Linked DNA regions of Nothobranchius furzeri. Each later gene encodes a partner of the first gene's protein in a complex. Links are inferred from orthologs where the notes say so. Each region holds a gene or a part of one and is shown on either strand. Other genes may lie near its edges.

Region 1 (4,395 bases):
GGGCGTGGCTGGTCTGTGGGTCTCCGGAGGCAGCAGACAGGTACCGGATAGCCAAGCGGGGTGCAGCAGTGGCAGTTGCCGAGGCAAAATCTCGGGCGTGGGAGGAGTTTGGTGAGGCCATGGAGAAAGACTATCGATCGGCTCCAAAGAGGTTCTGGCAAACTGTCCGGCGCCTCAGGAGAGGAAGGCAGCAACTCGCTCACACTGTTTACAGTGGGGATGGGGAGCTGCTGACGTCAACTGAGGCTATAGTCGGACGGTGGAAGGAATACTTTGAGGAGCTCCTCAATCCCACCAATGCGCATTCCGAGGAGGAACCAGAGCTGGGAGGCCTGGGGATGGACTGTCCGATCTCGGGGGCAGAAGTTGCTGAGGTAGTCAAACAACTACACAGCGGCGGAGCCCCGGGGGCGGATGAGGTTCGTCCTGGGTATCTCAAGGCTATGGATGTTGTAGGGCTGTCATGGTTGACACGTCTCTACAACATTGCGTGGTCATCGGGGGCAGTTCCTAGGGAGTGGCAGACCGGGGTGGTGGTCCCCATCTTTAAGAAGGGTGACCTGAGGGTGTGTTCCAACTATAGGGGGATCACACTCCTCAGCCTCCCTGGAAAGGTCTACTCCAAGGTACTGGAGAGGAGGGTCCGATCGATAGTTGAATCTCAGATAGAGGAGGAGCAATGTGGTTTTCGTCCTGGCCGTGGAACTGTGGACCAGCTCTATACCCTTGCAAGGGTGATGGAGGGGGCATGGGAGTTTGCCCAACCAATCCACATGTGCTTTGTGGATTTGGAGAAGGCTTATGACCGTGTCCCCAGGGGCACCCTGTGGGGGACGCTCCAGGAGTATGGGGTGGGTGGCTTTCTGTTAAGGGCCATTCAGTCCCTTTACCAGAGGAGCGTGAGTTTGGTCCGCATAGCCGGTAGTAAGTCGGACCTGTTCCCAGTGAGGGTTGGACTCCGCCAGGGCTGCCCTTTGTCACCGGTTCTGTTCATCACTTTTATGGACAGAATTTCTAGACGCAGCCGTGGTGTGGAGTGTGTCGAGTTTGGTGGCAGGAGAATCTCGTCTCTGCTTTTTGCGGATGATGTGGTTCTCCTAGCTTCATCCAGCTCTGACCTTCAGCTCTTGCTGGGTAGGTTCGCGGCCGAATGTGAAGCGGCTGGGATGAGGATCAGCACCTCCAAATCTGAGACCATGGTTCTCGACCGGAAAAGGGTGGCTTGCCACCTCCGGGTCGGGGGAGAGGTCCTACCTCAAGTGGAGGAGTTTAAGTATCTCGGGGTCTTGTTCACGAGTGAGGGTAGGAGGGATCGGGAGATCGACAGGTGGATTGGTTCGGCGTCTGCAGTGATGCGGACGCTGAGCCGATCTGTCGTGGGGAAGAGGGAGCTGAGCCAGAAAGCCAGGCTCTCGATTTACCGGTCGATCTACGTCCCAATCCTCACCTATGGGCATGAGCTTTGGGTAATGACCGAAAGAACGAGATCGCGGATACAAGCGGCCGAAATGAGTTTCCTCCGTAGGGTGGCCGGGCTCAGCCTTAGAGATAGGGTGAGGAGCTCGGACATTCGGGAGGGACTCGGAGTAGAACCGCTGCTCCTCCGGATCGAAAGGAGCCAGTTGAGGTGGTTTGGGCATCTGGTCAGGATGCCTCCTGGACGCCTCCCCGGGGAGGTGTTTCGGGCATGTCCTGCCGGCAGAAGGCCCCCGGGTCGACCCAGGACACGTTGGAGAGGTTACATCTCCAATCTGGTCCGGGAACGCCTTGGGGTCCTGCCGGAGGAGCTGGTGGACAAGGCCGGGGAGAGGACGGCCTGGAGCTCCCTAATTGGGATGCTGCCCCCGCGACCCGGACCCGGATAAGCGGAGGAAGACGACGACGACGACGACGACGAATTGCCTATTTTTGCTCATTTTAAATATATTTTTAAACATTTTCTAAATGCTTTTTTTATATTTTTACTTTCTTTGTTTTGTTTTTGTGAAGTGCCTCGTGATTTTTTATCTTGAGAGGCGCTATAGAAATGATATTTTCTTCTTCTTCTTCTTCTTCTTCAGTTCTTGCGATGTCTGGTATGAATCGATTTCTTGAGGTCTTTGGATCATTGTCCTGTTGCATCGTCCCATCTTCTGTTGAGCTTCAGCTGGTGGACAAAAAGCCTTAAGTTCTCCTGCAAAATGTCCTGGTGCAGCAAAGCAACCCCGAACCATGATGCCCCCACCACCATACTTCAGTTGTGATAATGTTTTGGTGTTTGTGTGGTGTGCCTCTTTTTCTCCACACACCCCAAACAACTCAAGTTTGGTTTCATCTGTCCACAAAATGTTTTGCCAGTACTGCTGTGGAAGATCCAGGTGCTCTTTTGCAAACTTTAAATGTGCAGCAGTGGCTTCCTCTGTGGTGTCCTCCCATGAACTCTGTTCTTGTTTAGAGTCTCACTTACAGTATATTCGCCAACAGGGATGTTCGCATATGCCAGAGATATTTTCTAAGTCTTTAGCTGACACTAGGATTCCTCTTCACCTCACTTCTGCAGTCAGGACGGCCCCTTCTACAGGGAAGAGTAGCAACAGTGCTGAACTTTCTCCACTCATAAACAATTTCTGTTACGGTGGACTGATGAACATCAAGGCATTTTGGAGATACATTTATAACCCTTTCCAGTTTTATGCAAGTTAACAACTCTTAATCATTGGTCTTTTGAGAGCTTCTTTTGTGCGTGGCATCAGGCAGTGCTTCTGGACAAAAGCAGGTGTGTGTTCTTTATTGGTCAGGGCAGCTTTAATCAAGACTTCTAATCTCATCACACTGATTGGACTCCTGTTGGCTGACACCTGACACCACTTAGCTCTTGGAGATGTCATTTGTCTAGGGTTGTCATACTTCTCCCACATGCACTGTGAATGTGTACTTGGTGTGTTCCATAAAAACATGGAAACGTATAACTGTTCGTGCGTTAGTTTAAGCAGACTGTGACTGTCTAGTGCTGTGACCTAAATGAAGATCAGGTCACATTTTATGACCAGTTTGTGCAGAAATGTATTTAATCCCAAAGGGTTCACATACTTTTTCTTGCTTCTTCTTCCTCAAATCTCTGATCATGCTTGTGTTCTAGTTTACGTTGGGGGGGTTTGAGGAGCTGCAGGAGATGAAGGTGCGTGGCCGAGAGCGTCTCTGCCTGACCCCCCTCCCAGAGGACAGTATCAAGGTGGTCAGAGCCATGAGAGCAGCCTCGCCTCCCGCCTCAGCCATGGAGCTGATCGAGCAGCAGCAGCAGCAGCAGAAGAGAGGCCGTCGCAGCCGCAGGGTACAACACACACACACACACACACATTTAGAACATGTTGGGTTTGATTGTGAACATTTCCGCTCATACACAACAACGTATGAGAGCCTGAGCAGTTTTCTCCTGAATCTTCCGTTGACGCGCTGATAAACATGAAAGCTTTGCCCGTTCAGACGGGGAAGCTTGGTGCTACGTTGATTTACTGTTGTGTTTCATCATGCAAATAAAACACGAGTAGGATGATGACGGATCAAAAAGAACACAAAGCCAAACACTGAAAGTCCAATCAGACCAGCAGTTAGGACCACATTTGGGTGTAAGCGCATTTTTATTTGTGGCTAAATGAAAAAACTTTCTAAAATCACTTCATTAGCGATGTGAATTGTTTGAAAATCAAACTTATACATCTCGACAAGTAATCATCAGAGGATTTCTAATTATTTCTAACAATGACTAGAAAATACAAAAAATATATGTAACACTCGCTTTTCTGTGACAGGTCATGAAAAATCAATGACTTTGTTGTCTTCACTCTGGTAAACAGTTTCATGCATTGTTCTCTTTGTAGGTCAAAGCTGTACGATGCTGTGTCCTCCTGAGGTCCTCATAAAGCTTTATCCCAGAGATTGTCCACAGATCACAGATGCTGATAATAAAAGCTACTTAAATTGAAATTTGAAGGTGAACATTTAGTCTAGGGTTAGGGTTAGAGAAGGAAATCTGTCAGTAAGAGAAACCCTCTGCAAGATCAGAATAAATATTTGTTTTATAGCAAATGAACGTGTTTTCAGTGTTATTTAAATCTGAGCCAACAGGGCTGAGTGCTTTTCTAAGAGAAGAAATCTAACGATGCAAAGCGTGAAGTCAGCTAATAACCAGCGTGATGCAAAGAAGGAGATTATTGCACTAAAGGAGTGACCGCTGCTGATCAAAACCACATTTCTTGTTACTAAGAGAAGGTCAATAACATTTAGGCATATTAGATGTTGCAGCTGTTTGTGAAGCATTTAGGTTTTCTATTAAAAAAAAAGAAAAACGGGTACTAGCTAATTTCTGATTATTTACCTTTTTATTAACACAGAACAGGTCATTTTGCTCCTAACACA
Region 2 (5,188 bases), on another chromosome or scaffold:
GACCAAAACTACTTATTTTGCTGCATTTCTTCAATTTCTTTGAGTCTTGTTTCTTTTGTTTATTCTAAAAAAATACGATGTTTGTTTATATGCTTTAGAGGAGTGTTCTAGTAAAACTGTGTTCTGAGTCCCCCCCCCCCCCCCTATTTCTGACAAGCATTAAAGACGTTTTACATTTTACATCTTTCTGGGTGTTGTGTTCAGCCAATCATATCGCCCTCAAGATAAAACCTTACTGGGGTTTTACTCAGACATAAATAAATAAGGCATCTACTTTCATCTGTTGCTATAAAGTGGAGTCAAACGGTCCTGTTTCAAGGTTGGATGTGGGGCTAAAACTGCCCATACACAATCATTGTGTTTTTAAAACATGACGTTTCTATTTTGCAAAATAAGTTTAAAGAAAAAATAAATAAATAAACATACAAGCATGCAGCAGAAAGGTTTGTAAAGAGTGAGGGGGCATTTGGGCTTCAGTTTCGTCCTTATGTCCCTGTCTATGGATTGGACATTAATAATTTACTTTTACAATTTTTGTGTTTATTTAATGTAAACTTCAAGCATAGGAAGATTGATGCCTATCCTGCTGGTTAGGATAGCATCATTTTGTTTCTAATGAATTAAAGACAAGTATTCTGTCTCCAGAGAAAAATGTGCTCTGAGGTCATATGTACCTGCAGGCTTCAGAAACCTGGAGCCTGACCTCACATTTCAGTGTGTCACTGTCCACAGCCTTTTACATTCCTTTAAAACAAGATAAGTAAGAGATTCAAGATATTTTTTTAACCAACACAAAATTACATAAGAAGATATTGGCCTGGCCAGCCAGCCCCACGCTTCCCTATGCTTCCTTATAGTTCTCTGTGTAGAATTACACAGTGAACAAGTCTGGCAGGCCAGGCTAGGGATAAACGTGACATAATGGGAATGGCCTGCTGGAATTTACAACAGCTTTTAACAAAACATGAAAAACTGATATGCATCTTGCTAATGTATTTTTTTAAACTTCCATTCAGTCTATAACTGAAACCAAACAAGACTGAACAGAAGAAGCATTATTTGCATTCATTGAAACTTTAACATTGGGTGTTTCGGTTTTAAAAAAATGTCATTGGTGCATGCATAAAGTTGGCTATTTTTCATTCAGAATAGAAACAAATTCGTTCTTGAAAATAAATGCATCGTCATGATGTGAGGGTGGAGATGGTGGACCAAGTGTGGTGGAGGGTTCCAGGAGGCAGAAGAGCAGGCACGGATGAAATAAAAATGGTTTAATTGTAGAATGGGAGAGACGGACAAAACAAACATGAACAAACAACAATGATCCGATGAAGACAGCAACAAGGAGGGAGGTATAAATACACAGGGAAATCAGGAACACATGGGCAGAGTAATGAGGGACAGGTGAGAACAATAAGGTTAATCAAGGCAGGAGAGACACAGTCAGGGAGGCCGGGGCGGATCATGACATGCATAGGAGATGAGATATTTACATTTTTGCACAAAACTCAAAAATTAATGTTTTTTTTAACATTAATGTAATCCAGCGGATTCAGCCTTTTACTATATTGCAAATATTTCAGCAAAATCTCATATTATTAACCCTTTGATGCATGAATTATGCAATCTTCAACCATGAATTTTTTTCCATGAATTTCATTCATCTTTAGGTGTGAATGAAACAAATTTCAACAAATATTTTTTGAAACATTTAATAATTTACAAATGGATTATTACACGTCCACCTCAGTGGACAGCGTGCATTCTGAACATGAAATATGTTGGCTTGACTTACTGAAGTCCAAATGGAGGGGCTCAAATACAATAAAGTCTTCAACAGCTGTGCTTAATGCAAAAACAAACAAACAAACAAACAAACAAATAAATAAACAAGCAAAAAAAAAACTATTTTGAGTACCTGTCCACTGTAGTGACCATTATGCATCAAAGGGCAATGTAGCTATCCCTTCCTTCAAATGATCTAATCAGTACTGTATTTCTTCTGGCAGTCCTTTTAAAAGGTATTGTCATTAGAATGTGTTACTGTAATAAGAAAAAACACTGATTAAAAACATTTTCATGTATATATGTGACCTCTGTTGTCTCTTTTGACCTTTATATTTGCTGCTATGTAGAAAATTGGAGAGCCATGTTTTTCTTAATACAACTAAAAGCTTTTATTTTCTCATAAACAAATCTTAATTAAACACAGAACAACTGTAATGTGCCTACGTAAAGCTACGTTTTCATCATACTTACTTAAATAGGCTACCGGCTTACGTCACGGTTACTTTAGCCTCCCCGCTCTCTGATTGGACAACGTGTGTTTACGTAGCAACGGTCCGGAAGATGTCGCTCGGGCCAGTCCTAAAAAACTTCCGCCTTAAGTTGTAAAGAAAACACAGCAGCTAAAAGCCAATCGACGGGAAAATCATCTTATTTAAGAAGTCAGCCCAAAGGTAGATACGAGTACGCCTTTAGGACGCACACATAAATGCACGTATCCGTCATGAAGCAGTTTGTTGACGTGTTTTAGCGCGTTTGTAAAGACAACCCTACACATTACTTGAGCTAGCACGGAAGCTAACGCTGTTCACTGCTACCATCGATCTAGTCGGCTAGAGGCCTCGAGTGAATATTATAAAACCGCGTAAAGTATGTAATGTTACACAGACACTTGTTAATTGATTGTAGTACCCCGATATCACAAATAAATCGGGTTACTCTGTTTTACCCAACACCGTTTAGTTTTCCGTTCCATACTTCTACTAGCTTGTAGCATTACCTTAGGCTATCATTTGATTTGTTTAGCTTTCCAGTAAACCAGCAGTCACTTCAGACACTCCATTAAAAAAAATAATATGTGTCATTTTCTCCATAACAAACCTGGACAATCACAAATACACAACATGCTGAAAATACATCAAATTCGTATGATTTACATTCAGCTCTCCTAATCTATTCTGTCAAGTATTTGTCAGTTTTAACTCATTTGCCTACGATGCTATAGTGTGTCCAAATAGTCCCTGTTGTTCAGAGTGAAGTTGTTGTGTAGACATTTAATCCGTGCTGCCATACATAAAACGTATGATTGTACCACTCCCCTCCTTCAGATTAAACCAGAATACAAAGGATCACTTCCTCATTATTAACCAGAACAGGATAGATTAGGCGGTCAGTACTGGTGAGTGTAAAGATGTATGTGAGGGTGTGTAATGACATGTTTGTGATAAACTGACATGATTTAATTTTATGGATGTTCTAATCGTACATGTTGATTGCTAATCATAAAAATAATTGATTTAAGATTATTATTGATTTTCATTCATAATCTTGTTATTGAACAATCACATCATTAGAAAGAGCATATTTAGATTGTATTTTTTTAAAGCCTGGTTTATCTGCAGCTTCTTTTGCAAATGTTTTGTGTTCTATTATAATGAAATTTATCTGGGTGAGGAAGTAGTGCTTATTTTTGTGTTTGAATAAGATAAATAGTCAGGGCAGTCGATTTTCAAGATTGTTGCAAAATCATGTGACATATCCAGTTCTTATTCAAATTTAAACGTCTAACTACAATTATCAGGGATGTGTGATCATCCAAACCCATGTTTAAACCGAACTGTGACAGATTAACTACTGTGATTTAATTCAGTCACATTGTAACTGATGCATGTTCTGCATTCCATCAACGTAAAAAGAAAATATGAGCAGATATAACTTCATTCATTTCCCAAAAATGTCCTTTTTCTATTTTATTTTTCAGGCTCTTATCTCTGGAACTTGCTTGGTTTCTGAGTGTGTGTGTGTGCGTGTGTGTGTGTGTGTGAGAGAGAGAGTGAGTGTGGCTGAGGAGCAGTTTCCTCTTCATCATTTTGACAAGAGCTACTCCTCCACTGGAGGATGACAATGGAGGAGATGAAGAATGAAGCGGAGACAAACTCCATGGTATCCATGACGCTTTACGCTGTGATGTATCCCGTTTTTAAGGAGGTAAGCCTTCCAATGTCAAATATGTTGCTTTATTTAATAAAAAAAAACGAATATGATGAGTGACAGAATTTAAGGTTAATGTATCAGAACAATGTGGGCACACCTGAAACAATTAGATTATTATGAAGCAGTGTAATATATTTTGTCACTCATTTCAGAAAGCGAAGCACCTAAATAGTCATTTCACATAAAATGAACCATTTCAAGCCTATAGTTCTTGTAATTTTGATTATTGTCTCATACAGATAATAGAAACCTATATTTCAATGTCTCCAAAAATGTGAATATTGCATAAATATTACACCACTTTTGGCAGGAAATGTCATTTGTTCTTTATCACATCAAGTCAATATGAGTGTACCCGTCGTCTAATTCCTACTGAAATGTAACCTTGCACTGCAAGATGAATCCTCGCGAGATTTGGAGTTTTCCAAACTCAGGAGAATCCATCTTGTACCGTTCCAGTTCAAACCGTCCGACCTCCGGCCTAAAATAGGCCGGACCAATCGTGTGTCAGCACTACGGCTGAATAATTAATTGCATATGCAATTAAATTGCGATGTGACAAAAGGAGATTTTCTAATCGCAAAGGCTGCGATTTGACTGGCAGCAAGTGGTTAGCGCAATGCTAATATACATAGAAAAGCCCATAGGGATGCTAATGCTAATATTGCAGATTACATTCTTACAAATTATGGCTTAGGAACGTGCCAAATATTTACATTTGGACACTAATAAAAAAGTAAAAACTGCCATTAATCAAATAAGTACAGACAGATATTTTAGTAAAGCTCAAAAAACTGTAAGAGACTTAAACTCCACAGAGTTTTGGCTAGCAGCTATGAACGTAGCTGAACTATGGAAGCTCTGCATGGACCAGACGTCAAAAACTGTAAACACAAAAGACCAATAAATGGGACACACTTCTTTCCTACAAATCAATTTTCACAGTTGATGCTAATACCTATGCTCCTACAAGGGATGTGCTCCTGGCTGCAAAGCATCGCAACTTCAAATGCAAAATGTTGTTGTTACTTGTTAGTATTTATGTAGACAAATAAACTTGTTGATATGATATGTAGATATATATGTAGATACATAAACTTGTTCATATTCAGTGCAAGTTACATAGGGTTTTTTTTGCTTCTGTTGAAAAATATGAGAAAAGCCCCTTGAGAAAATAATTGTGAATTAA

What was found. Proteins that work in one complex are often made in the same cells at the same time.
Region 2: strip2 (region 1) and programmed cell death protein 10-B share a complex: the UniProt entries of both Homo sapiens proteins name them as parts of the core of STRIPAK complex. The link is inferred for Nothobranchius furzeri from reciprocal best matches to the Homo sapiens genes STRIP2 and PDCD10.

What each region holds. Positions count from the first base shown.
Region 1 is NC_091741.1:53,354,170-53,358,564, reverse strand, and holds part of strip2 (striatin-interacting protein 1 homolog), read left to right. Parts: intron 1-3,118; coding exon 3,119-3,310; intron 3,311-4,395. UniProt on the Homo sapiens protein: Plays a role in the regulation of cell morphology and cytoskeletal organization. Required in the control of cell shape. Calmodulin-binding scaffolding protein which is the center of the striatin-interacting phosphatase and kinase (STRIPAK) complexes.
Region 2 is NC_091758.1:24,841,466-24,846,653, reverse strand, and holds the start of programmed cell death protein 10-B, read left to right. Parts: upstream 1-2,021; 5' UTR 2,022-2,459; intron 2,460-3,766; 5' UTR 3,767-3,903; coding exon 3,904-3,993; intron 3,994-5,188. UniProt on the Homo sapiens protein: Promotes cell proliferation. Modulates apoptotic pathways. Increases mitogen-activated protein kinase activity and STK26 activity. Important for cell migration, and for normal structure and assembly of the Golgi complex.